7 linked regions of the Cricetulus griseus genome follow. The protein of the gene in region 5 interacts with the protein of the main gene of each other region in a pairwise test. Links are inferred from orthologs where the notes say so. Each region holds a gene or a part of one and is shown on either strand. Other genes may lie near its edges.

Region 1 (3,926 bases), on a different chromosome or scaffold from region 5:
CTTCCCATAAGCAGTTGCTCTGATCAGCTGATGGCCATGGAGTCTTGCTTTAGAAAAATACCTCGAGAAATGTATTTCTTGTAGGAAGCGGAAAGGAAAAAGAGCTGTGTGTAGGAGAATGGGAGGGACCACACACATACACCGGGTCGCGGCGTGGGGGGTGGGGGGAGACCCAGCACTGAAGCGGCACCTCGGGATGAAGCTGGGGTGGGGAGGGTTCAAGTTCAGAATCTGAGCTGGAGACTGAGAAAGGCCAATATATAAAGAGGAGGCAAATATTAGTGTGATACAAATAGCAGTTAAGGAGGTACAATACTTGTTTAAAAATAAAGGCAAAAATAAAACGTAAAATTGTGGTATGAGAGGAGGAAATCCCTACAAAGAACTAAGCAGTCAAAAGGGTCATAGGACAAAGAATGGGGAGGACTGCCCCAACCCTGGAATTGCAGGTGTCTCCCCTGGCAATGCCTGTCTCCCATGGATGCAATGCAACTTATCCCATCACCACCACCTGCAGGCAGGCCCCCAGGCTCCTCCCCCTAAGACCTACCTCCTTCCCTCCTGTCAAGCAGCTCCCCCGCCAAGTCTCATAGCTGCCCCTATAACCCATCCTGCAGCTGAGATCAAAACTGGGAACGTGTCCTCCAAAAGCCGGTTTTCACACATTAACGTCCCCAGGGAAGACTGGAGATCCAACAAGGGTTAAAGGGATGGGGTGCCTAAGGATGGAGGTTTCGGATACGTTACTGATGGATAGTGAACACCTTCCTGGAGTGTTTCACAGCGAAGTGTTGCCCCAAAAACTCTCCACCGCTCCCCTCAGGCAGATGGCACCCAAAGGTGCCACAGGTGAGTCCAGATACCCACTCCCCCAGCCCTGCAGATCCTCAAGAGCACTCCGTTGGGTTTCAGGGCGGTGCCCCAGACGGTTCAGCCTTGTCTCTGGGGCAGTGGACCCGGGCGGGGCAGGTGGCCGGAGCTCCGCCCTCCTCTGGAGCAGGCTCTTCAGTTCTTAACCCGCGCGCGAGCGCCCTGCGGCCACTGGGCTCTGCGGAGCGAGCGAGCGGTCAGCGCAGAGCCGGAGGTGCGCGTGTCCCGTCCCAAGGCCGACGCCAAGCTCGCAGGCATGGCCCCGGCAGCGGCTTCGGGTGGCAGCACCCTGCCCAGTGGCTTCTCGGTCTTCGTCACCTTTCCTGACTTGCTCTTCATCTTTGAGTTTGTGAGTGGTTGCGCGCCCTGCGCTGGGAAAGGGACAGGGTGGGTTATGCTGCTCGCTTCCTTGAGGGCTCTTCACCGCTGTCCCCGACCTTACCAGCAGTACGTAGGGGACCAAATCCGGAAAGTCTCCTCATCTCTCGGTAGTTGGTTCCTTTCTAAAATAGCGGATCCATCTCCTAGGCAGGTGCAAAGAAACTTCTTGTAGCTTCTTGTAGCTCTGCTCCTATGGAGCCCAGCTTCCTTACAAGGGTCCCCGCTTTTCCCACTCACATTCCCTCTAAGTAGACAAAGCCAGCCAAAGACCCCTTTATGTGACCGACGGAGACTTGGGACCAAAAGAAGGCAGGCTCTTTTGGCCTTTTGAAGTTTTTTGAAAAGAGTTTGTCTCTGTGGCAAACTTGACCGGGGAGAGAAAAAAATAGTGGTTGGCGTTTGCTCGTTTGCTCGGCTGCAGTCCTTGTGCCTGTGTGAGGGGAGGGAGGAGAGAGGTGAATTCTGTCGCCTCCCTTGGCTGACCTTGAGCTGACTCTGCACCTGGGCTGGGTTCTCTTAGTCTTACACTCTAGAACCGCCCCAGTAGCTTGGAGAAAATTTCCTATTGTGGGCTCCTGGTAAAGTGTTGTGAGATTTCAAGACCTCATTTGGTTTCAAATCCCCAGGGACCTTCAGCGCTTGCTTGGGCAGGAGGGTGTTTGTTTATTCTGTGGTGTGGAAACAACATCTCCTGTGCTCCCACCACACAGAATCCTTTGTGTAGAACATAGGCTTGGAAAAGAAAATGTAGAGGGTGATTTTGACAATGGGATCCTGGCTTCTAACAGCATGGATAGGAAGGGAAGATGTGGACACCAAAGACAGTAGGCTCACTCATACAGGGATGCCACTGAAATTGAGATGAGGGTTGTGTTGAACCCAAACCTGGGTGTTTTTGAAGTGACTTCACACCCCGGGCATAACCAAGGCCAAGGCTATGGAAGTAGAAACTCTGCACATTACCAAGCCAAATTTCACAACTTACAAATCAGAGCACCTAGGCCCAAAGCTGGGTCAGGCTTGCCCAAGGTCATCCAGGTCTTTAGCAAGCCTTCCAACCTCCTTGGGTTCCTTTTGTATTCAGGGTTGCTGAGCAAGTCTTGGAACAATGCCAACTGAATGTAATTGACACAGGCACTTGGTCATATGGGAGAGCACCCCCTGTGTGCTCTGGGGGCACTAGTCTTTATAATCTCTTAGCCTATGTTTGCCCAGTGTTGGGACCTGGGAATAATTAATGGGTGATTCCTCAGGATTTTAAAAAGTAGACCCTACAGAGGTCTGACCAAAAGAGATCATGTCTCAGCCTGAGGGGTGATGGGGCAAGGGGGTTTTTAAACAAAAATATGTTAGTCTAGAGTAACTTCTGTTGACTGAAGAAGAGCATACAAAGAATCATTAGAGAAGATGGTAGTTGGGCTTTATGGGTCTTTGCAAAGATTCTGGCTGTAGCCTCAACACACACACACACACACACACACACACACACACACACACACACACGGGGCTGGGTGGGGAGACTCTGGTGGTGGTGGAGGGTCTGCAACCTCCAAGAGCACACCCCCTCTTTTTAACTACTCAGTATGACAGAAAGACTGGTTCTGAGAATAGGAACAGACCAGCCAGGCAAGACAACCAAACCTACAGAAGACTTGTGGGTGTGGAAAATCTCAGCACTACTTGTTTAGTGAAAATGCACCCTCACTAGTGTGCCCTCCATTCCTCCATGTGGTAGTGGGGATTTCTAGTGCTCTCTCTTGACCAGAACTCATCCTGTTCACTGTTTTAGAAAGTGTGTCTCTTCTATCTCAACCATTGTACTATGTCTGCCCACCCTCCCCCACCTGTCACCTTCTCTAGAAAACTTTGGAGTCTTGCTTGCCATCCTTTAATCTTTCTTCCTCTCTAGGTTAGGGCTGGGTTTACAGGATGCCTTTGGAGAGAAGGAAGAAAACAGACACAGTCCCTCCAGTGTTTCCCAGCATAGGCTGTATGTGAAGCAATGTGTATCTTGCCAGAAAGCTGGAAAATTAAAAGACTGGGAGAGGCACTGACCACGCCACGGGTGTTTTCTTAAACTGTAGAATATTATAAGTCAACACCCAAAGCATGATTATAAAATGGGCAATGGCTCAGACAGACATTTCTCCAAGGCAGAAACACAATTGGGTAATGAACTCATAAGACGATGCTCAGCTGAGTTAGTCACCAAGGAAAGGAAATCAGAACCACATAGAGGTGTCACCTCCCACCCATTAGATTGACTGTTAGTTTAAAAACAGGTCCAGCGGCAAAGACTACAATAAAACTTTGAAATAACGCCCCCTCCCTCCATGGAACATAATAATCCAGAATATGGAAAACCTGTGGCTCTGCATATTGCTGTTAGGAATGTTTTACATACGTTTAGATAATGTGGAGAGTAGTTTGGTGGCTCCTTCAACAGCTACCTTATGGCCCAGCAATTTCACACCCAGGAATACGACCATAGAATCATAGCAGCGACTCAAATAGAGTGTGTACACACAGGCCCAGAGCAGTGCTCTTCAAGGTAACCAACAGGTGAAAACAGCAGAAATATCCACCTGACAGGTGGACCTGGCAAACACAATGTCCTCTTTCCCTACAATGGAATACTGTCTGGACATAGGAAGTACTGATGAACGCTGTCCAAG
Region 2 (4,113 bases), on a different chromosome or scaffold from region 5:
CTTGACCCCAGGTCCCCTGACCAAGTTTTCTGCATGTGAATGGATAGCAGGGTACAGGCAGGGCCTACACATGGGCCACAGAATGCATCAAAAACTGCGAGCGAGGAAGGGAAAGCAGAGGACAACCCCAAAACCTAGAACCCCACTAAAGTAACACCGCTGCCCCGCACTCCTGGACCTAAAGACTCAGGCTCTGCAGGGAGGAGCAGAAAGACATCCAGGAACCCACAGAACCAGGAGGACCACCCAAGGCTGTCACTGGGGACTGGGACTGTCTCCCTCTGTCAGTGTCTTGAAATCCATGGAGAGGGCTTGCTCTTCAGCCTGGGAAGGCCGCTTCCAGTCAGCTTGAGCCAAGATGTAGAGTACAACCACCCCAAAACAGATCAGCAGCAGGCCCAGGACGTTGGCCAGGACCCCCTCAGGTTCAAACGTGCTGTACTTGGTCCTGTAGGGTAGGGTGAAGGGAGAAGCCACCAAGGGTCCCAGTTAGGACAGATGCAGCCCAGGCCTTAAAGACTCCAGCCCTTCCACCTTCCCCATGAGAAAAGCCAGCTCAGAGAGAGGCTTCCAGTGAGGCAAAGGGCACTTGGGGACTGCCTCTTCGGGCCACTCACCCAAGCTTGAACAGTAGTGCCTCCTTCAGGCCCAGGAGGGCTGTGCCCACAGAAAGGAGGAAGATGGTGGCACCAGAAAAGATGTGCTGGGGGCGGTAACGGCTCCGCAGAGAGAACGAAGCTCCAGGGAACAAGAAGAAGCTGAAACCCACGAGCCACTAAAAGGAGAGAGGACTCTCCTGAGCCATGAGCTGGCTGTGACCTAACTAACAGGAGGCCACCAAAGCACTCCTGCATCCCCTCAAATTCCAGCAGTGGAGCATGGGGTATTTATAGGGAAAGTGGCCTGGTCCCCAGTGCTTGAAGCATTGCGTCGAGGCTTTGGACCTCCAACCACAGTTTCACCACCCTGTGGACTCAGGAAGCCAAGGCACGTGACTCAACACTTGGACAGAGTCAGTGGAAAAGGCAAAGGGGTCTGGGGCACCCTGGCCTCTAGAATCCTAGGCTGATACCCAGTTCAGTCTCTGAAAACAGCATCCAACTAAATTAACCTACGCTCTCTCCTCTGAACGTGCACCCTGGAAAATGGGCCCCTTTTATGGCATACCTGAGCCCCACTACCCGCCTCTTCCTCCTTCCCCATCCCTTGCTGGAGCTAAGACTCACCTGCACAAAGTAAAGAACAAAGACTAAGATTCCACACCAGCTGTGCAAGCTGTACAGGTCAGCATAGCCCTTCTTCTTGTGATAGTCGAACACAGCCACCAAGCCTGCAGCAGAGGCAGGGGCCATATGAGGACAGGGCTGGACATGGAGAAGGGAGAGGAGAGGAGACCCCGGGGGAAACTGCTAGCCAGAACTTCTGGGCTTTGGTCCAGCCTGATGATGGCCAGCATCCAGTGTCCCTGCCTGGGATGCTTGTAAGGAGGAGCGTGGGGGAGGGCCAAGAAGCCTGAAGTAGGGACTGTATATCCTGAAGCAGCAGATGGAGACAAAGGCTGTGCCCAGGAACTCACCCACCAAGGCGATGATGAAGGCAACAACATGAAGCAGCCCGTGCAGGACCTTGGTCGTGCGTTTGGCCTCTTTTCTGAAGACACGGTACACCAGCAGAGCTTGTGGGATGAAAGATAAAGCTTTAAGTGGGTAGGCCTGTGCTGGACACACAAGGATGCCTGGCTGGCTGGACAAAGGTCTGTGCTAAGAGCTTGTCAAGGTTCGCTAGTCATAGAACTGGTGGAGAAAACAGAACTGCATAGGGACCTTGCACCCATCCTGCTTTTGGTCAAGGGTGTCCCTGAGTCTTTCTACCCCATGCACACTCAAGGACCCGGAGAGGAGGCTGTGCCACATTTTCCTGCCACCATCAGAGGCAACAAAGACAGCACCCTGCCCTGAGTACCCACTCAGAGCAACTGCTAGGCAGGGAGACACTTGGCCTTGCCAGGTGTCCTATAATGCATTGACTCGGGTGTTCAGGGTTTGTCCCACAGTCAAACTGCAGTGCTGGCCAGACTCAGTGTACCTATTAGCAGAGAGTGCAGTTCTGGAGCCTTCCTAGATAGACAATCAGTGCTCTTAGCAGGCAGACTCCCAGCTTCAAGGCTTAATGAGATCCTGTCCAATCCTCACTGCTATGAGGGGGAGGGCAGGACCACTAGGACCTGCTGCTGGGAGGTGGCTGTCCTGTCCTGTCCCACCCCCCACCGACCCCGCCATCCAGCTCCTTGTAGGCTGCGTTCAGGACAAGCACCTGCTGGCTCTTATCCCAGGGCCAGGCATTCTAGCTCAGCCATGTCCCCTTCAACAATGCACACATGCACGTGTGCCCCTGATGCCACCTGCTGAGGCCAGCTATCACCCTCCAACCACAGGCTCCCTGGACCACCCAAAGGACTCCCCACGGGACCGCCCACGGGACCGTCCACGGGACTCACCATCCCCTTGCAGGAAGATCATGCCTATGACCATGCAGAGCGGGTGCACATTAAACTGCAGGGAGCTTTCCCAGGCGATGCCACCTCGGTACAGACCCAGCCACGCACCAGTCACAGCCACCACTGTGAGGCCCAGCAGCTGGGACAAGGCCACGTAGTACGGCAGTGTAGCAGGGCTGGAGGCAGCACTGTGCTCCATGCTGAGAGCTCAGCTGCAGGAGAGACAAAGCTCTAGGGAACCACCCACAACCCTCAAAAGGTCCAGCCTGCCTCGTGGCAGCTGCCACCTCCTCCGCCCCAGTGTCTAAGCTGGGCACACTCGTTCTCCCACCTTAGACCCCTCCCACCATCCTGGGGCAGAGTCCCCAAATCCCAGGAACACCTCAGCAGAAAACCAGGCCTTTCCACAAACCTGACCTGGGTTCTGTGTGCAAGACAGGGCACAAGTTTAAAAAGCTCTGGTGATGCATGGACCCAATCCCTGGGTTATAATCCCTGTTTCCTGAGGCCCTGGGTTTTCTGGGGTGAGGCTGATGGCTACATCAGAATGTGTATATCCCCTGAGGGTGCAGGGCTTGCCACTGCCTTCTCCAGATGGATGCGAAAGACCTTCCCCAGTGGGAAGTGGAAGCCTTGCTCCTTCACCCATCTGTAAGCCTCAACCCCTGATCCTAAGAGCCAGCATGGATATCCCCTGTTCTATGTAGCTGTGTTCTGCCCCTGCTGTGCCAGACCACAGGCCAGCCAGGGAGCCCCCAGTCTGTCCCTCCAGCTCCTTCCCACATCAAGGGTGGTAGGGGGTGCTGTCCTCCCTCGGGTGAGGTTTCCAGAACTAGGGGCCTTAGCAATGTATCCTCACATGCAGAACTCGTGTTCCCATCTACCTGCTGATCAGAGCAGGGAGACAGATGAGAGCAGGTATGCTGCTATTTAAGGAGGCACCGCCGGCACCAGGAGACCCTTGAGAGGCTCTGGTGCGTGCAACCTCCCAGGCAGGACCACCGCAGGCCAACTCTCAACCCTTTCCCTGCATGTTCTCCTGTCCCCACAAGGTAACAGGGGTGGAGGGGAGCAGGCTGGCTCTGGCCTCTGTTGCCTTTGCCTCAGTGGCTGGGACTGATCACGAAGTTCTTACTCTGGCTGGACCCGACTACCACCGATGCCACCAGCACTGGGACATCAGAGCTCCAGCTTATTGTCCCCTCCCTAGACAAACGGGGCTTGCCTCCCAGCCAGCCACCTCTCCCAGCAGCAGTAGGTACCAGAAGGTGTGTGGCAGCCGCTTCCCCACTCTCCCACTCTGGCTAGGCTGGGGCCTGGGGCTCCAGTTGGTCAGCTCCGGCTCCCAGTTCTCCAACAGCAACTCCTCCTTTTGAAAAGAAGAACAAGGCAGTTAATAATACACTCTGTGAACAGACAAAAGCAAGTCACCCCATCCCCGCGTGCATTTTTCACATACATTTTTCATAGAAACAGGCCCAGGACATCTTCTAACCCATCTTAATGTAATGGCATAGCGCGCGCGCACACACACGCGCACACACACACACACACACACACACACCCTTGTTCATGTAGATGAACATACTTCTGCCTCATTGATTCAACAACTCCAT
Region 3 (4,018 bases), on a different chromosome or scaffold from region 5:
ATTACTAGAGCCTCTGAACCAGAGTTCCCCTGACTCCACTTGAAACCCCAATGCCTGCTGTAAGTTGCACAAAACTGCCAAGCACTGCTCCAGAGCTATGTTACCCAGTACTCTACCCCTCTTTTACAGATGAGGAAGCATGGACAGGTCGTCAATAATTTGCCTGGGGCCACACAGCCAGCAAGTGGCTCCAGTCTAGCCAGCTCTCACCCCCAGCTCTGGCCCCATCAGATGGCCACACATCCCATCACCCAGGTCCCCAGCCCTTACTTCATCAGAACCAGAACTCGGTCCCCTGATAAGGAATGCAGATATACTCAGTCATCACACACAGCCTGAAATCAGTGTCCTGAGAATAAACAATGACAGCTCACATTACCTTGCTGTGAGAATTCTAATGGGCTGCCACAACACTTCCAGTAAAATCCAGGTTCCTCCGTGAATGTTGAAGGGAATTCTCTGATGTCCCTGGTCACCACACCCTAGGCTCCCTGTGCTCCAGCCACACTGGCCCTTCTGTATGCTCTCCAAACAACAGGAGCTTGTTCTCAGGGCCTGAGAATTTTTCTTTTCTCCCCAATGTCCAAATGACTGCTTTCCTTGAATTTCAGGTCATATATGTCCTCCAAGAGGCCTTCCAGGGTTATACTGTTTTACTTAGCCCCCCACCCATCCACCCACCCAGTCATTATTTCCATCACTCTATTTTCTTTACTGGCTGTATATTGTAACCACTATACAGATTAGCAAACTGAGGCCCAGGGAAGTGAAATAACCTACTCAAAGTCACAAAACTGGAAAATGGTGGCACTGGCATTCTTAAAGTCTACATCCTGCTCCTTTCCATGGATCCATACTTTTTGTCCCACCTCAGAGTCAGCCCAAAGTTTGATCTATGCCACAAGAGTCTAGCCTTCTGCAGACTCCTGTGTCATCCACTCTGCCCCAAACCCCGTCAAAGACAGCAGACATGCGGTCCAAGGAGGTAATGTGCCCCACCTGAAGGCCCCAAAGACTTCTCATCTGAGCCCTGAAAAGAGGTCCCAGAACATGTCCACTGTACCACTGGTGGGCAGAGAATAAGGAACCAAGTTCTTGTGCCCTCCCCTGCCTGCAGAGCTCAGCTGGGCGAGGCCAAAGTGGATATAAAGGGGTTGGTATATATTGAGAGCTAAGAGAAGCAGAAACCACCAGAGGAGAAAGACGGAGGGAGGGAGAGAGAGAGAAGGGTGGTAGTAAGGGTTGGGAGGAAGGCGGTGAGGGAGGCGGGGGCCTCAGAGTGGAAGGAGGGAGCAGAAGGGCGGGGCAAGAGGCCCAAACGAGGACAGACTCCAACTCTGACTTCTTCAGCGACTCTCGGTAAGTTTTCAATCCGTTATTCAGACGGGACTTTATATACTTATATACTGGGCATCACAGCACTGTGGGAGGGGCGCCCTAGGCAGGAAGAAACCCTCCACCCTGCTCCCGAGGACACTAGTAATTGAAGAAGGGGGTCTCTCAGCCTTTATAGTGGGGACACAGGAAGGAGTAGGGCCATCTATAGGATGTGTGGTCCCAAGAGAGCACACCATAGGAAACATCTTGTAGCTTCTCCATGGGGTCTTCCATTCTCTCTTGAGATTAAGGGGTGCAGGAGGGCTCCCAGGCTGAGTTCTCTGGACACTGAGGGTGGTAGGAAGTGTTCTCACCACTCAGACATCCGCCTTCTAATCCATCTCCCCAAGTATCCAGAGCCTTAGGTCTGCAGTAGGGTGGGGTGAGGGCCACAGAGACTCAGCCGGGGGCTGGAGTTTCCCTGGTGCTGAAGGGAGGGGGATGAGTCACCCATGACTCACCCCAGGAGAAGAGAGTGAGTCAAGGATGTGTGTCCTCTGGGCAGCTCCTGCTCTTGATGGATTAGAAAGGGGTGTCAATTTAAACTTTCATATGGTGACCCATATAGCCTGGGGAGAAAGCACTGAAGATGCACCAACATATAGTCAGTCCTGTTCATCCATCTCCTAAAGTCCACGTAGGGCTTTCTCTAGGCCGCTCCAGGAGCACAGGAGCCCAGGAGCCCTGGGCTCACCCTCCTACTCCCTGGGGAGGACTGCTCAGCCTACTCTCCTTCTCTCTCACACCCAAGAGCCTTCCCAAGCCCTCCTCCCTCAGACTTAAAAAGCCAGACCCTAGCCCTCCTGCCCAGATTGAGTGCTTCTACCCTTTGCAGGTCTGTCTCTCCTGCTCTGAGCCAGGCATCTGGCAGCCATGTCACTCCTCCTGTTAGTGGTCTCTGCCCTTCACATCCTCATCCTCATCTTGCTTTTTGTGGCCACTTTGGACAAGGTAAGCTTCCAACTCACTGTGAAACCTAGCTACAGCCCATTTCTTAAGCCTCTACCTCCCTACTTCTAAAGCAACGCTTCTCTCTAGCCTTGCCCACCCTTTTAGCCCCTCGGTGCACATCTAGGTGCCTCATCCCCACTCTCCCTGACATTGTCCTTCTCTCCTCACTCTCCCTGATCTCTGTCCCTCCCAGTCCTGGTGGACTCTCCCCGAGAAGGAGTCCCTAAACCTGTGGTATGACTGCACATGGAACACCACTGCCAAAACGTGGGCCTGCAGTAACGTCAGTGAGAATGGTGAGCATATAGCTGAGGGCAACAGAAGGGCCCCAAATAGGCCGGGACCAGGGTTGGGACCGGAGCCTAGGCTGTGAGCATCTGGGGCTGGCAGAGGCAGCCTGTCTGGATGGAAAGGCCACTGCCTCTGTTCCAATGGATCCAGAAAGGGTGGAGGTCACATGCTGCAGGTTTAAGGAATGGGGAGAAAGCTCCCTAAATTCTGAGACGATAGGCTTTCCAGAGTTGTAAGGAAATAGAGCTAGTGTTGAGAATATGGAGCCATTCATTGAAGCTGAGGAGAGAAGGAAAGGGCCAGAGTTCTAAGTGACAGCAAGTGAGGGTGGGGATGTAGCTATCAGTGTTTGCATGGTATGTGACCCTAGTTACAGATGCACCCATGAAGCTTGCCTGGCTGAACCAGCAAGTGGAGACGGGGTTGTGGGCTGTAACCTCACCTGTCTTCCCCTACAGGCTGGCTGAAGGCAGTGCAGGTGCTCATGGTGCTCTCTCTCATCCTCTGCTGCCTGTCCTTCATCCTCTTCATGTTCCAGCTCTACACCATGCGGAGAGGAGGGCTCTTCTACGCCACCGGCCTCTGCCAGCTTTGCACCAGTAAGCACTTCCCCAAGATCAAGGGAATGGGGTATACCATGCAAGGCCCTCCCCCAAGGACAGCCTCTGAACCCCAGAGCTAGTGGAGTTGCAGTTCTCAGAGGCTCTGGTAGTCTTGGTACTTTAGTGAGCTAGTGTTTCAGAAGTAGGTTTTGGTAAACAATTTGAGTTCCAGAGATTCAGGCAGCTAAGAAATACCATAAAAGGAATATTCTGAATCATATCATCCAACTGCTGTTTCTTGTCCACCTGTTCAGGGAGTTTACTTTTTCTCATCACTCGGTATTGTGGATGTAACACAGGGCCTCTGGCATGCTGGACAAGCTATCTCTGAGGTACATGCCCAGCTCTATACTGGTGGATTATGGGCATATGGTCTCAGCCCTCTTTTTAATTTGGAAAAAGGGTCTCACTAAGTCATCTCCACTGGCCTTGAGCTCCCTATGCTCTTGCCTCCACCTCCTGAGTAGCTGAGAGTGTAGGCATGGGCTACCAAGTCATGTTCCACTTTTTTTTAAGATCAAATAATCTGAGGCTTGAAGGGTTTGGGGGATGAAGAGGTCAATGAACACAGGGCTCTATTTTTTCTTTAGTTTTTCTTTGGCTCTCAGTGCAAAGGGCTGAGTTAATCATGGTGGTTTTGGAAACATCTTCCTGGGTTCCCAGAGAAACCCCCTCATGTTACTCACTCATGTTTGCATGTTTGGCTCATGAAAAACTAAAAAAAGAGCCAGGCAGTGGTGGCAAACACCTTTAATCCCAGCACTTGGGAGGCAGAGAGAGGCAGATCTCTGTGACTT
Region 4 (3,959 bases), on a different chromosome or scaffold from region 5:
ACACCTTTAATTTCAGCACTTGGAGGCAGAGGCAGGTAGATCTTTGAGTTCAAGGCCAGTCTCATCTATACAGCTAGTTCCAAGACAGCCAGGGCTACACAGAGAAACCCTGTCTTGAAAAACCAAAGCAAAATAAACAAACAAAAGTTCAAGTATACATGTGTGTGTGTGTGTGTGTGTGTGTGTGTGTGTGTTTGGTGCAGGAAGAGACCAGAAGAGAGTGTTGGATGCCTGCAGTTGAAGTTACAGTTATTAGCAGTCATGAGGACGCTGGGAACCCAACCTGGATCCCCTGCATGTGTAACAAGTGTGGTGGCACATGCCCGTGACCCTAGTAAGAAGGCTGAGGTGTTGACTGTGGGTTCCAGGTCAGCCTGGACTACATAATGTCTCAAAACAAAACAAAACAAAACCAAAACGACAACAAAAACCTTCAAATAACAAATGTTAACTTTAAAGATTTAAAAAAAAAAATCAAGAAACCCAAAAATAAGGTTCCAGCACTGAAACACATTTAAAACACAAGCTTCTACTACGGATACTATAAAAATTAATTGAAAATATTTTAAACTAAATTAAAATAAATAATTTAAAAATATTTTAGTATGGGTGTGTGTATTTATATGTGTGTCAGTGAGGTGCCTACTGAGCTGGAGTTACAGGTTTTTGTGAGCTATTGGGTATGTGTGTGTGTGGGGGGTGCTGGGATCTGAACTGGCTCTTCTGTTAGAGCAGTAAGCACTCTTAACCACTGAGCCATCTCTCCAGCCCATAAAATTACTGATACATTTATTTATACAAGATCCAATTCCTTTTGAACACTCACATATGAAAAATCAAGCCCCATGGAACTGTTTGGGGGAATCGAGATACCCTAGGGTCATATTTCTATGCATTCAAATATACTCAATATTTAGAAGATGCTCAAAGGCAACTGCATGTGACACCTCATCTCTCTTTTTTTAAAAAGATTTATTTATTATGTATATAATGTTCTGTCTATATGTATGCCTACATGCCAGAAGAGGGAACCAGATCTCACTATATAGATGGCTGTGAGCCACCATGTGGTTGCTGGGAATTGAACTCAGGACCCCTGGAAGAGCTGCCAGTGCTCTTAACCTCTGAGCCATTTCTCCAGTCCTCGACACCTCATCTCTTAAGTCATTACAGATAAAAGATGATAAGAGTGCTCCCCAAACCAGTCATGTTTCCTCAGACTTATGACATTGGCAACTAGGTGGCTTATTTTATATAAATGGCGTCTTAAGTGACGCACCAGTACGGTAAGAATTCACACAGTAATTGAGTGATGCAACATTTGAAAGATGAAACAGGAGTGTGGTTTCTACTCCCAAAGCCTCCAGGCCAGGGATGGAACAGCCCAATTACCTAGCAAAAATTCTCTATAGAGACAAGATGATGATGGCTCTGTGACTGCAAAGACATAGGTGACGGGGTCAAGTTTCTCAGTCTGGGAGTTAGCAGAAAGTATAATTTACCACAAAGTAACAGGCAATCCGATTAAGAAATATGTAATGGTTTCTACAGCTACACTTCTTGATATAAAGGCAATATATAAATCAACAGGAAGAAATATCTCGATGAACAATCATAACTTTAAAACCCACTGAAATCTTTAAGAAGTAAGTAAAATTCCGTTGGAGTCATTGTCACTAGATTAACATTACCCACATTTGAAGAATCATAAATCTATTTTCTTGTTAAGACTCCCCCATTAATGACATTGAAGAAATGAGGAAGAGGCACAGGCAACATCCTAAAAACTGCAGCATTTCACAGTAACTTCCGTTCACATTAGGATTTGAAAGGGTCTATTATTGTTCAAAAAGAGATCTGAAAGTATCCTAGTAACTCAGATGACAGGGTTCTATATGGGAAACGAAACGTTTTTCAGGCACCGAGAATAAACAAGACGCCGGAAAAGAATGTGACCCTGGAAAAAAGCTCAACCAAAGTCGCCCTTTCCAGCGAGGTGGGAGGCATAACTATCCAACTGTTTACTTCCTGCTTGGCTGTCTCTTCTACAAAGCAGGTCAAGAAACCAAAGTGATCCGCTGATAAGTAAACCGAAAACTTTCCTTCTTACCCCAGGGGCAAAACTACCGAGCAACATTCCGTCTCTCCAAAGAATGCAACAAACAAGCAATCTTTTATCAAGGTGTTAGTTACCTTATCTTAAAAAAAAAAAAAAAAATCACAACTTAAAAAAGTGTCAACCTGCAACTGTGGGTGGAAAGGAAGCGGGAGCACTTTGGGTTAGCATCCGGGCTTTGCTGCACTGTACAAACCCCGAAAATCCGATGCATCCGATTTAGAGGCAAGGGAAAGATGGTGCACCGGGATCCCGAGAGTGGATGCAGAGCCCAGGCTTGGGAGAGGACTGCGCTCGTGCCTCGGGTGGGAAACTACACTGACTGATGTGCGGGGACGGGCATCCCTCCGGATGGCAGCCCTCAATGTCTCTGGGTGCAAACTCGCTCACAACGCTTCAGTGGCCCGGCTGCCCGGCTCTGGTCCAGGGGCGGAGCGCGACGGCTTGAGGAGCCGAGGCTGGGTCGACCCCACGCCGTCCCTCCTTATCCCCGCGGTCCCCGTCCCCGCGGCCCGCGCCCCAGGCCCACCTTTGATGCCCGCCATGGCGGTGACGTCGCTCCTGCCTCCACGACCCGGGCGGTGGCCGGGAGACCCAAGACGCGCGACGGCGGCCAGACAACACCCGGAAGTGCACGACGCAGCACTTCCGCCGGCGGCTCGCGCTCGCGCGGGGGCGTGGGGGGCGCGCGGGGCCGGTCCGGGGCCCGCCTTCCTCCGGAGCTGCGGGTGCCGGCTGCGACGTCCTGGGCTGGTCTGTGGTTCCCATCCGACCCGGGAGGATGGCTCCCGCCCGAAGTCCCCGCGGTCTTGGGAAGGGCGCGTGGGGAGCTCGTGAAGACGCGGCCGATGTCTTTGCCGGAGCACTTCAGGTTCTGCACCGCGAGCGCCTTCCTCCCTCCACCAGCCAGTCTGTGACTCGGGAGATGGGTGGTCTCTGCATCTCTCCTTGGGTTCCTACACAGATCGGGGCTCTGATGAGACCTTCCCCCCTCCCTATTTGGGTGCAGCGGGCCGAGTCATGGATAGTAGAGTTGCATTATCTTCTTGGGAGTCTGTGAGGATCGCTCTCTCCTTGGTGACAAAAGGGATGGGGCCCCGCAGAAATCCGCTATATATTTGCAAGTTTCCCACATATATGCTGGGGAACCGGAGTAGGCTTTGGGATGAGCAAAAGCAGGTGTAGTTTCTGCTGTCGGGTTGTTTGTGGACTAAAAAGGGAGAGTACTCAAAAAAAAAAAAAAAAAAAAAAAGAATAAAATTGCAACGAAGATAATCGCTAGTAAGAAGAATCTCCACTCCAAAATATAAAAAACAAACCAAAAACAAAACATGGATGAATTGTCCGCGCTCTTTTCTGTACAAAATAAGAGCATAAGATTCTCCTTGTAAAGGTAACAGGAACTTCCCCGTGTGACATAAAAAGATATTTGCAACACAATTTTTCCCATTTGTAAATATTTTCACTTCTGAGAAGAGGCAGCTGTCTCTATAAGCAGCACCGATTGGAGTCTGCAGAAATGTTACAAAAATAGCCTTTATTAGTTTCCCTCCGAAAGCCCACACTTCTTTCATCTAGTCACTTCCCCACTGTGTATTGCCCTTCGTTAAAATGCCCTTTGGCTCCCAGATCTAGCGATTGGGTTTTCCCTTCTTTGGAGCCTTCTAGGCCAGTGAAATACAGTGTCCCCTTTAGATCTGCCTTAGGGCTGCTATGCCAGTCTCAGCCTTGAAACTAATTAAGAAGGCAGAGGAAACCTTGATCCTAGGAATATTTAGGAAATAGGAAAGGGTAATCCTTTGGTTTGGTCTGCAGCCTTCTCTTAATGGACACTAGAGGTTGG
Region 5 (3,500 bases):
CTCCCTCTTGGTGTCCAAAACAATAAAATGATATACTGAGTTTAATTGGAGTTGATTTACTGGACCATGGCAACTTAACAGTGACTACATTACTGAAGAAAAAGACTCTCCCTCTCCAACAGCCATTAGTTCCTCAGGAAGGTGGTTGAACCCTCATAAACCCCTCCCCCATACATAATGGAATATTGAAGGACGCAATCTTGTGTAGGTTACCACAGCTACAATATGTTCTTATATACAATGGCCATGTCATATACAGAGGACAGTATTTCACAACATTCTTCCTCATTTTCTAGCTCTTACACTCATTCTTACCCCTCTTCCAAGATGTTGCCTGAGCCTTGGAGGGAGTGATATAGAGTCTCATTTAGGAGTACACACTAATAGTCACTTTTTTCTGTATTTTAACCAGTTATGAGTCTCTACACTAACTGCTACCTACTGAAACAAAGCTTCTCTGAAGGCTGAGAGCAGTAGTCTCTAGATATAAATCTACATAGTTATAAGGCAATTTGACTGCATGTTCATTTAGCAAAACATCAAAATAGTGGCTTCCCCCTAGGGCCTGTGACTTCCATAACCATGGGCTTTTGACCAGGTTTCCAGTAACTAGGCATGCATTTCCTCCTGTGGAGTCAGCCTCAAATTCAATCGAAAAGCAGTTGGTTGCCCTCAACTATTACACCAGTGGGTGCATCTTGTCTGAATGGTCACTTTTGCTGCATGCAGGGTCCACAGCTGGCAAAGACCATTGATGTTGTCTTTTCTCCCTAAACAGTCTGCATAACACCTTCCAGTACTATGAATGGTAGCCAGCAGGGAGGATTCCTCTGACTCATTTCCAGCTAGATTTTTCTGTGTTCTCTAACCTAAGTGTGTGCTGTGTTTAGTAACAGGGTCTTTATCATCTAATTCTGGTAGGTAACCAAAAGCAATGGCAATAGCCAGTATTGTTTTAGGAGAGTCTGGGGGGCACTCTGAAAAAAAATGGCCATTTCAAGTGGAACAATCTAAATATTTTTGAATGTGCTGTGGTTAATAATATAAGATTACATATATTCATTTATTGTTTAATATTTAATCAATGACTGTATCCTCCTAGATGGCTGTGCGTTAAGGCTACTGGATATAATTGTTTAATATAAACAATAAATCATGGATATTTGAAGAAATTTTGTATAGACTGTTAGGATTTTCTTAGGTCCAGCACATTTTCCCCAATTTTTAATTTGAATTAGAAACAAGATTATTTTACATTTGAATCCCAGTTCCCTCTCCCTCCCCTCCTCCCCTGCCACTCCCCCAATTAAAACCCTATCTATCAAATATCTTTTCTGCTCCCCAGGGAGGGTGAGGCTTTCCATAGGGGGTTTTCAGAGTCTGTCATATCCTTTGGGATAGGGGCTAGGCCCATCCCCATGTGTCTAGGCTGAGGGAGTATTCCTCTATATGGAATGGGCTCCCAAAGTCCACTCCTATGCTAGGGATAAGTACTGATCCACTACAAGGGGCCCCATAGATTTCTGAGGCCTCCTCACTGACACCCACGTTCATGGGGTCTGAATCAGTCCCATGCTGGTTTCCCATCTATCAGTCTGGGGACCAAGAGCTCTCCCATGTTCAGGTCAGCTTTTTCTGTGGGTTTCGCTAGCCTTGTCTTGACCCCTTACCTCATCTCTCCTCATTCTCTGCAACTGGATTCCAGTTCAGTTCAGTGTTTAGCTGTGGGTGTCTGCTTCTACTTCCATCAGCTGCTGGATGAAGGCTATAGGATGGCAAATAAGTTAGTCATCAATCTCATTATCAGGGGAGGGCATTTAAGGTACCCTCTCCCCTGTTGCTTAAATGGTTAGTTGGTGTCATCCTTATAGATCTCCAGACATTTCCCTAGTGCCCGATTTCTCTTTAAACCTATAATGGCTCCCTCTATTATGGTATCTCTTATCTTGCTCTCCTCTGTTCCTCCCCCAACTCAACCTTCCTGCTTCCCCGTGTCCTCCTCACCCCTCCTCTTCTACCCTTCTCATTCTCCTAATTCCCTCTACCCTCGCCCATGCTCCCAATTTTCTCAGGAGATTTTTGTCCCTTTCCCCTTCTCTGGGGCACCATGTATCTCTTTCTTAGAGTCCTCCTTGTTTCCTAGCTTCTCTGGCAGTGTGGATTATAGGGGTCCAGCACATTTTTTTAACTAATAAATGCACCACACATAAAGACTCTTGGATTACTATTTTTCCAGCTGACAGTGGAATGAAAATACGTTCATTTTAAGTTTCAAATAATTAATGTATTTAACATAGCAATATCTAACATTTATTGTGTATGTATTATAGAGATGGGTACTGTGATGATCCTGCACTGCTTTATGAGTAAAGTGATATTATCATCCAAGATTACACAGCCAGCAAGTGATAGAGTTGGGCTTAGAATCACTGGAGTCTAAAACTCTGTCCATTGTTTAACTTATGCACATCTTTTTACCTCAAGTATATACTGAAGTTATGATTACCATTAGTGAAACCAGACCCATTCACATACAAAACATATTATGTCACTCTAAGTGATGATTATTCGACATCAGAGGACCAAATATTAGAAAGAGTACCTTTTAATACAAGGTTTATTTTTCCAGATTCATTATTATATAGAAACTTAGTAATAGAGTGATAACACATTTACTTTTCCTTAAAAATTAGCAAACCGAATAAGAAAAATAATCATTTGTTCTGTTTCACTGAAATTAGTCTTATAGACCACATATTCTGATTGAGTTTGGGAAAGACAGAGAATTAGTATGCACTTTATCATGACTTAACTCCCATAAGAAAGTTGACATACATGGCACCTCAGGATTGGGTGCTCCCCACTCTAGAAACAAATTAAGCACAGAGCATCAGTAGGAAAATGGAAAAATCAGATATATATGATAATAACATCCAAGGGGGTAATAGAAAATCCAAGGCTAGTTCTGGATGTCCATCAGTAATGCATGAGGAAAATTAGAAATTTGTGACAAACCCCAGAAGTTTGTGGACAAATGTAACCTAAGGGATTTCTCAGAGCTATTCAAAGCAGAATAGAGAAACTTCAGAGATTAACCAAAACTCCATGCCTACATGTTTAGAATAGTAATAATTCTTTGATTAAAGTCACTGAAAAGTAGAAGGAAAGATGGACTCAGACTTTAGATATATTGAATTTAAGGTAAAGATGGACCATCTATCAAAAGCCAGCTGGTTGGTTTCTTAAGTTGGATACAGCTGACTGGCATCAACCTTTGACACATCTACTTATTAATTTTACAGATGGCCCTCCTGAATTTCTTCTTTCCTGATGAAAAGGCATATTCTGAAGAGGAAAGTAGGCGTGTTCGTCGCAATAAAAGAAGCAAAAGTGGTGAAGGAGCAGATGGTAAGTCTACTCAAGTGATCCTTTATCACTCTGACTTATGAAATGGTAATAAAAAATACTCTTTATAGTTCATGCATGGTCCAAATCTCACT
Region 6 (4,125 bases), on a different chromosome or scaffold from region 5:
CTTCTTCTTCTTCTTCTTTTTTTTTTTTTGGTTTTTTGAGACAAGGTTTCTCTGTGTAGCTTTGGAGCCTATCCTGGCACTCGCTCTGGAGACCAGGCTGGCCTTGAACTCACAAAGATCCGCCTGCCTCTGCCTCCCGAGTGCTGGGATTAAAGGAGTGCGGCCACCAACGCCCGGCCACATACTTCTTAATAAAGCCTTCTAGGATCCAGTGAGCGTCAGGCCGTCATTCTTCCCATCATACAGATAGAAGAATTGAGGCGTAGACTCACCCAAGGCTGCCATACGGTTAAGCTGTAAAGCCAAGGATTTTGATCAGATTTGTTTGTCACCAGACACCTAAGCATTAGGCTTTCTGTTCTGCTGCCTACAAGGTCCACTCTAACCATGCCCTACCCAGGCTACAAGATAGGGGCTCTGCAGCATATACAACTTCCCTGAATTGGTGTATGCCTTTAAGCCTTTTTGTATTCTTATTATCAGTAAAAAATAAAACCAAGAGAGCTTTACTTGTTTATTTTAAGTCTGAATCAATTGAAAAAAACCAAATCTACTTTTCACTCCTCAGTTCTTGGTGTCCAAGTAGCTGCTGTGGGAACCATTTATTCTTTCTCCCTATTTCTGTTTCCACCATCACAACTGCTACTACTACTACTACTACTAGGCCATCAGCAATATCAGTAGGTAGAGAGGCAAAAGGAGATTGTCTATTTGAGTAGTGTATGCTTCCAGGAGCGACACAGTGCTGATAGATCCCAAAATCCAAGCATAACTGTAGTTCAGGTCTACTCCACTGTCAAAGATTAAGATCAGAGCTACAGAGATGATCTGTGCAAATATAGATGTCATAGTCCCCTCGAATGTTTTCTTAGTTCCAGGCCAGCGGATCTCCCCCATGGTGCTGCCAAATATGGAGGCAACAGTATCACCCACACCCACCGCCAGGACCCCAGCATAGGGGACCAGAGCTCTTGCTCCTCCCAGGCTGTCCTTCTGTGTACAGGGCCTGGGAATCAGCCAAATGGGAAGAGACATGCCCAGAAGCAGGTAGATGTGTGTTAGGATAAGGGGTCCACTGTCTCGTTCATCCAGGAAGAGAGACAGAAGGCTCCGAAGAGTGTGACCCAAGGGCTTGATTCGGAAATAGCGCACATATTCCAGGAAGATGAAGACGGCCAGGCATACCGTGGCAGCCACATATAGTAGTGGCCGGTCAAAGATGATACCTGGGATGTAAGTGGCTACCACAATGAAGTGGAAATACTTTCTCGTAATGGCAGGAGCCTTGTGTTTCTTGGACTCAGAAGATGACCGCTTGGCATTCTGGTACAGCACCACCAGGCAGGCCATGGTGGCCAGCAAAGACCAATAGGCTAGGAGGTAAATTCGAGTTTCTGTGTAGAAGAGGAACTGAAGAAGCCAGAGCAGGGGGTTCCTACGAATGAGCCAGTGCAGCCAGGGCAGAACCACACCAAGGCCTAGCACACAGGTCATGAGGTGGAAGAAGATGGAAGAGGCCCATGTGCCCGAGTCCATGAAGACAAAGAGGGTGCTGAAGAAGACACCCATGAGCACCATCCCTACCACCACCACCAACAGGAAGAAGTCCACTGGGTCCCCTTGGCTTTCAGTCAGAGAGCGCTTGATGAGCTGGTTGAGGACGAAGCTAATGCCACCTAATACCAGCAGTGCCTCCCCAGGAGTGAAGCATCGGGGCAGCAGGTACAGCAGGATCATGTTGAGATAAACAAATACCAGCAGGACTTCCAGGACCTCGATCACCTCGCCCACACTGAGGGAGTGCTTCATAATATAAATGATAATGCCTCCGGCCAAACCCGAGATGGCGCAAGTATTGGTGGGCACCGGGCGAGTGATGCCCAATGCCAACACCGAGGAGAAGAGAGCCACTGCCATGCCGGTGGCTGCAACCACAACGCCAAAGCGCTCGAAGTACGGGTTACCCGCAGTCTGGCAGCGTTCCTTCATGACCAGCCCAAGCAAAGGCATGACCATGGAGGCTGGCAGTAAGCCACTGTTCGCGGACATTCGGAACTGGAAAACGGCATTGCCTTGCTGGAGCAGCCGGTCCCACTTGTACTGAACGTAGAACGCCTGCACTGCGAGGGCCACAGCGCACCACGAGTATCGGTCCCACACCGCAGCGTGGATGCTCAACACCACTGCGAACACCACTGCAGCCTCCGCCAGCACCGAGCCACTCAGCGGGAACCCAGACTCCGCGACTGGGGGAGGGCACTGTCGGGTCATGTCTCTAGGCCTTGGGTTCCTGGGGAAGCTTGGTGACAAGGGATGCTTTGGCCTCAACCAGCCAAGCAGAGGGCAACAGCTTCACCCAGCCAGCAACCTTCTCCAACTTCCAAAAGTGTGCTCCACTCGGGCCACTCTGAGGCCTGGGAGCCTGCGCCCCGTCACCCTCCACCGCTTGCGACCTACGGTGTAGCGGATGTTTTGCACTCTTCACCTCTCACGGGCTCCACCGCCTCTACCGCGGACGGCTCTCAGCCCTGGGCAGCGCCATCTTGACAGCCCCATTCTGGGCCCGCCCCACCATCACGTGACGGAAAGTCCCGCCCCTATCGCAGGGGCTCGGTCACGTGGGCCCGGTGTATGGGGGCGGGGCTGGGACGCGCGCGCGAAGATGGCGGCTGCCGCCGGTGGGCCGTGTGTGAGGTGCGGAGGAGGGCGCGGCGGCGGGGGAGGCTGTGAGGCGCCGGGTGGGAGCGGGGAGGGAGTTGGGAACGGGATTCGGCGGCAGTGGTGGAGAAGAGGCCAGGCTGGGTGGGCGGACACTCGCAGCGGAGGCGGTTAGGTCCAAACCGTCCCCGCTCGCGGCGCTGAGGACACTTCTTGAGCGGGCCGGCCGCTCTCCCTTCCCTTTCCGTGGTCCCTGTGCCCTCTGTCGACCCACGCCGCACTCACGCTTCCTCCAGCACGCTCCCTGTAGGCACTGCAGAACATTTCGGGGTCGCATGGGAGACACCCCCCTCCCCGAACCTCGCCATATCGTCCCCGCGCCCTGCCCCGCCTCGGGCGTGCCTTGCCCACGCCGCGGGTTCTTCCCGCGGACGTCCTTAGTTCCCGCCTTCTTTTATTTTTGGCTGATTCCAGTTATTGATTCATTCAGCAGACATGCCTTCATCTTCCAAGAGATTTCGGGTAGCTGCGCCAGGCTTCAGACACAAGATGGATTATTACAAAACACACACACACGGTTCTCACTTAGGGAGTGCTTTTTTTTTTTTTTTTTGGAGGCGAGGGCTCCTGTATCACAGGCTGGCCTTGAACTCCTATCCTCCTGCCTTTGCCTTAGTGCGGAAAGTACGGACATGAATTACCAGTCTTGCTTGCCTTTAAAGAGCGCTTACTAGCGCCAGACCCTGGGAAAGTGCCTTGCAGGAATTATCTCATTCATTTCTGACAACTAGGAGAGAGAGGTGCCTCCTGTTACACATGGCTCAAAAGTCCAGTTCATACAGGGATAGTCCCCCTCTTCTGTGATAATCCCCGTGAGGATTCAGATTGAAGACTTGTCAGACTAAAGCCATAATCAGACCTCTGTGCTTATTACATCTTCTACATTACAGACCAGACTTCCACTCTTAAAACCTAAACATACTTGTCATCTGGAATTGACTCTGCTAGTTTCATTTGGTTTTGTTCCCTGCTGAACCATTAAACACGCAGACAGACATGTATATATCTCACACATCGCCTGTCTTTCTCTAAATCAGCCTCTTCCTTTGGATTTTCCTGTGGATAAGGTATGATCCTTGTGAGTTTGGTTTTCTTTCCTCTGGTGTTTCATGCTAGTCCTTGTATCCACAGTTATGGATACATACGTGTATGAAACGTTAAAAAAAGTGAATTTTTCAAAAGGAAAGGAAAAGTTTGGCTTGCTAGTAGGCTTTCATTCGTGTTGAGGAACTTACCAAACCCATCCTTGAGGCTGTTCTTTGACTGATTCTAGGGTTTTTAATTTTTTTTAAAGATTATTTATTATGTATACCGTGTTCTGTATGCCTGCACGCTAGAAGAGGGCACCAGATCTCATTACAGATGCTTGTGAGCCACCATGTGGTTGCTGGGAATTGAACTCAGGAC
Region 7 (2,111 bases), on a different chromosome or scaffold from region 5:
CTCTCCCCTCTCCCCTCCAGAGTCGCAGTCAACTGAGGACCTCTAGTGCTGTCTAGTGTGTACTTCTCCAGAGCTTTAAAAAAGAGCTGAGTAGGTAAGCAGGGGTATATTTGCTAAGTGTTTTTCAATTTTTCTTAATACTTCCCTAACACTCTCTCCCTTCAATCTCTTTCTGAAGCCTCAATATAAGGTTAAAAACACTTTCATGGTGGCACACAGCTTGAGAACAGATTTGGATATAAATTGACCCTGTGTGGCTCTTTATCATAGCATACACATGAAGGACAGAAACACACACCAAATGAAAATCCAATTCACTACTACAATTCAATAGAGCCATGCTGAAGATCTGAGAACTATGCCATCTTTATAAAATAAACACCAAGTTCTAGCTGGTTCTGCTTGATGCAAATCTCCCCCTTTCTCAGTCTCCTTTCTCCTCTCCTCAGCACTTGTCTCAGATGTGGGGACAGCAGACTGAGGTGAGTTCCCAAGAATGCAGAGCCAAGGGAGCAAATCCAACTGCCAGCGAGAGTCTATAATAATATCCTGCTGACAGTGATGCATCAACAAATTAGACACAGTGGTCTCTAGACAGTAAATCATTGCATTTTGTTTCTGTTTATTCTTCCTGTTTTAAAACTGACACAAAAATGTTCTGACAAAAAACAAAACATTAGCCCAGCATAGTAGTATAGGACAGTAATCCCTTTACTTAGTATGCAAAGGCAGAAAGGTGGCGGCCTCCAGTTTGAGGCCAGACTGATTACTGCCTTCGGACAGTACACTTAGTTTATTAATAAGCTTTATTGTTTATTAATTATCAACTCTTTAGACCCTACATATTCAGCAATGGTTTAGGAACTTTGAAAGAAGGCCAGACACAAACCAGGTAAGCAAGATTAGCTGAAAATCGGAACTGTCCATGGTAGTTTTGTACAATAATTATTACAGTGCCTTCCAAGCTTAGCAGTCTTTAGTATTCATTATCATGTACAGTATTTAAAATAGTAGGGGGCATCAAAGGTATAAATCATAAAGAAGAAGGCAAACAGCTAGAATTTGTTTTTTTTATTTCATGTTTAACCAAGCTTTTAATTTACTATATGCATCTCTTTGTCCTGAAACACTTATGTTTACATCAGAGAGATAGCATTCCATAAACCAAGTAATACCTGCCAAAAACCACAGTTCCTACAGCTCAAACAGGACAAATGGGACTGTGAAGTAACATACGAGATATAGAAGCAGAGACCATGGAGCCCAGGGACAGTTGATGTCATAAAACACAGAGACCCAGAGAATGGGTATGGGTATAGGTATTAACCTGGTCCATTTACTGTTTTTACATTCCAGGCCTCCTAACAGAAGACAGCTGCTTACACTTGCCTGCTTACAAGCAGCTCTTTCTTTCTCTTGACCACTCAAAACTTCAGGCTTCCTGATTGCATCATGGAAAAAGTCCAATACCTCACTCGCTCTGCTATCAGGAGAGCCTCAACTATTGAAATGCCTCAGCAAGCACGCCAAAATCTCCAGAATCTATTTATCAATTTCTGTCTCATCTTGATATGTCTCCTGCTGATCTGTATCATCGTAATGCTTCTATGAAGTGCTGCCACCACCTCCAGGATCTGTAACATGCCAGTTCAACTTCAAACCAGCACTCCCTCAAGAGGAGAAACAATACAGCCTACTCCCTGTCTAGAATGTCTTTCTAAAGGTCAAGATTAAGAGGGAAGCAAATTGTTAGCCAATGTATTCACCTACTGGATCTTGTAAACAAACTTTACAATGACTAAGTGTGCATAATGTAGCTGCCAATTTCCTCAAAATGGCCCATAAATATCTTTCCTAATTATTTCTGACCATGAAGTATGAATTTTAATTTTGAAAAAGCACTACAAAAATGTTCACTTTCTACACCCTACTGCTAAGAAGTTCACCATTTTTTTTTTTACAGGAACTAAGTATTTCTCAAGTCTCCACAAAACTGATCATCTAAATGAAGTGTTCTTATTCAAAATAGCTCACTGGGTCCTCACGTGTATGGCTACTATTATTATTACCACATTAGTTATGCTGTCAGAATAAATACCTTGAAATAAAGA

What was found.
Region 1: the proteins of Eda (region 5) and Mal interact in binary tests that used the Homo sapiens proteins (3 or more experiments, as listed by UniProt). The two-hybrid records come from large-scale screens. The link is inferred for Cricetulus griseus from reciprocal best matches to the Homo sapiens genes EDA and MAL.
Region 2: the proteins of Eda (region 5) and cytochrome b561 interact in binary tests that used the Homo sapiens proteins (3 or more experiments, as listed by UniProt). The two-hybrid records come from large-scale screens. The link is inferred for Cricetulus griseus from reciprocal best matches to the Homo sapiens genes EDA and CYB561.
Region 3: the proteins of Eda (region 5) and Emp3 interact in binary tests that used the Homo sapiens proteins (3 or more experiments, as listed by UniProt). The two-hybrid records come from large-scale screens. The link is inferred for Cricetulus griseus from reciprocal best matches to the Homo sapiens genes EDA and EMP3.
Region 4: the proteins of Eda (region 5) and Leprotl1 interact in binary tests that used the Homo sapiens proteins (3 or more experiments, as listed by UniProt). The two-hybrid records come from large-scale screens. The link is inferred for Cricetulus griseus from reciprocal best matches to the Homo sapiens genes EDA and LEPROTL1.
Region 6: the proteins of Eda (region 5) and Dolk interact in binary tests that used the Homo sapiens proteins (3 or more experiments, as listed by UniProt). The two-hybrid records come from large-scale screens. The link is inferred for Cricetulus griseus from reciprocal best matches to the Homo sapiens genes EDA and DOLK.
Region 7: the proteins of Eda (region 5) and Pln interact in binary tests that used the Homo sapiens proteins (3 or more experiments, as listed by UniProt). The link is inferred for Cricetulus griseus from reciprocal best matches to the Homo sapiens genes EDA and PLN.

The regions. Positions count from the first base shown.
Region 1 is NC_048599.1:50,923,391-50,927,316, forward strand, and holds the start of Mal (myelin and lymphocyte protein), read left to right. Parts: upstream 1-1,126; coding exon 1,127-1,219; intron 1,220-3,926. UniProt on the Homo sapiens protein: May be involved in vesicular trafficking from the Golgi apparatus to the cell membrane. Plays a role in the maintenance of the myelin sheath, and in axon-glia and glia-glia interactions.
Region 2 is NC_048600.1:118,875,489-118,879,601, forward strand, and holds the start of cytochrome b561, read right to left. Parts: upstream 2,801-4,113; 5' UTR 2,697-2,800; coding exon 2,498-2,696; intron 1,676-2,497; coding exon 1,577-1,675; intron 1,331-1,576; coding exon 1,227-1,330; intron 776-1,226; coding exon 618-775; intron 449-617; coding exon 256-448; 3' UTR 1-255. UniProt on the Homo sapiens protein: Transmembrane reductase that uses ascorbate as an electron donor in the cytoplasm and transfers electrons across membranes to reduce monodehydro-L-ascorbate radical in the lumen of secretory vesicles.
Region 3 is NC_048599.1:154,810,750-154,814,767, reverse strand, and holds the start of Emp3 (epithelial membrane protein 3), read left to right. Parts: upstream 1-1,218; 5' UTR 1,219-1,359; intron 1,360-2,212; 5' UTR 2,213-2,250; coding exon 2,251-2,328; intron 2,329-2,521; coding exon 2,522-2,624; intron 2,625-3,077; coding exon 3,078-3,218; intron 3,219-4,018. UniProt on the Homo sapiens protein: Probably involved in cell proliferation and cell-cell interactions.
Region 4 is NW_023276807.1:50,693,303-50,697,261, reverse strand, and holds the start of Leprotl1 (leptin receptor overlapping transcript-like 1), read right to left. Parts: upstream 2,801-3,959; 5' UTR 2,662-2,800; coding exon 2,646-2,661; intron 1-2,645. UniProt on the Homo sapiens protein: Negatively regulates growth hormone (GH) receptor cell surface expression in liver. May play a role in liver resistance to GH during periods of reduced nutrient availability.
Region 5 is NC_048604.1:70,051,379-70,054,878, reverse strand, and holds part of Eda (ectodysplasin-A), read left to right. Parts: intron 1-3,302; coding exon 3,303-3,408; intron 3,409-3,500. UniProt on the Homo sapiens protein: Cytokine which is involved in epithelial-mesenchymal signaling during morphogenesis of ectodermal organs. Functions as a ligand activating the DEATH-domain containing receptors EDAR and EDA2R. May also play a role in cell adhesion.
Region 6 is NC_048599.1:141,943,835-141,947,959, forward strand, and holds Dolk (dolichol kinase), read right to left. Parts: upstream 2,656-4,125; 5' UTR 2,272-2,655; coding exon 661-2,271; 3' UTR 501-660; downstream 1-500. Other genes in the region: nucleoporin NUP188 homolog, read left to right, coding at 2,663-2,694. UniProt on the Homo sapiens protein: Catalyzes CTP-mediated phosphorylation of dolichol, the terminal step in de novo dolichyl monophosphate (Dol-P) biosynthesis. Dol-P is a lipid carrier essential for the synthesis of N-linked and O-linked oligosaccharides and for GPI anchors.
Region 7 is NC_048595.1:255,659,778-255,661,888, reverse strand, and holds Pln (cardiac phospholamban), read left to right. Parts: upstream 1-1,452; coding exon 1,453-1,611; downstream 1,612-2,111. UniProt on the Homo sapiens protein: Reversibly inhibits the activity of ATP2A2/SERCA2 in cardiac sarcoplasmic reticulum by decreasing the apparent affinity of the ATPase for Ca(2+).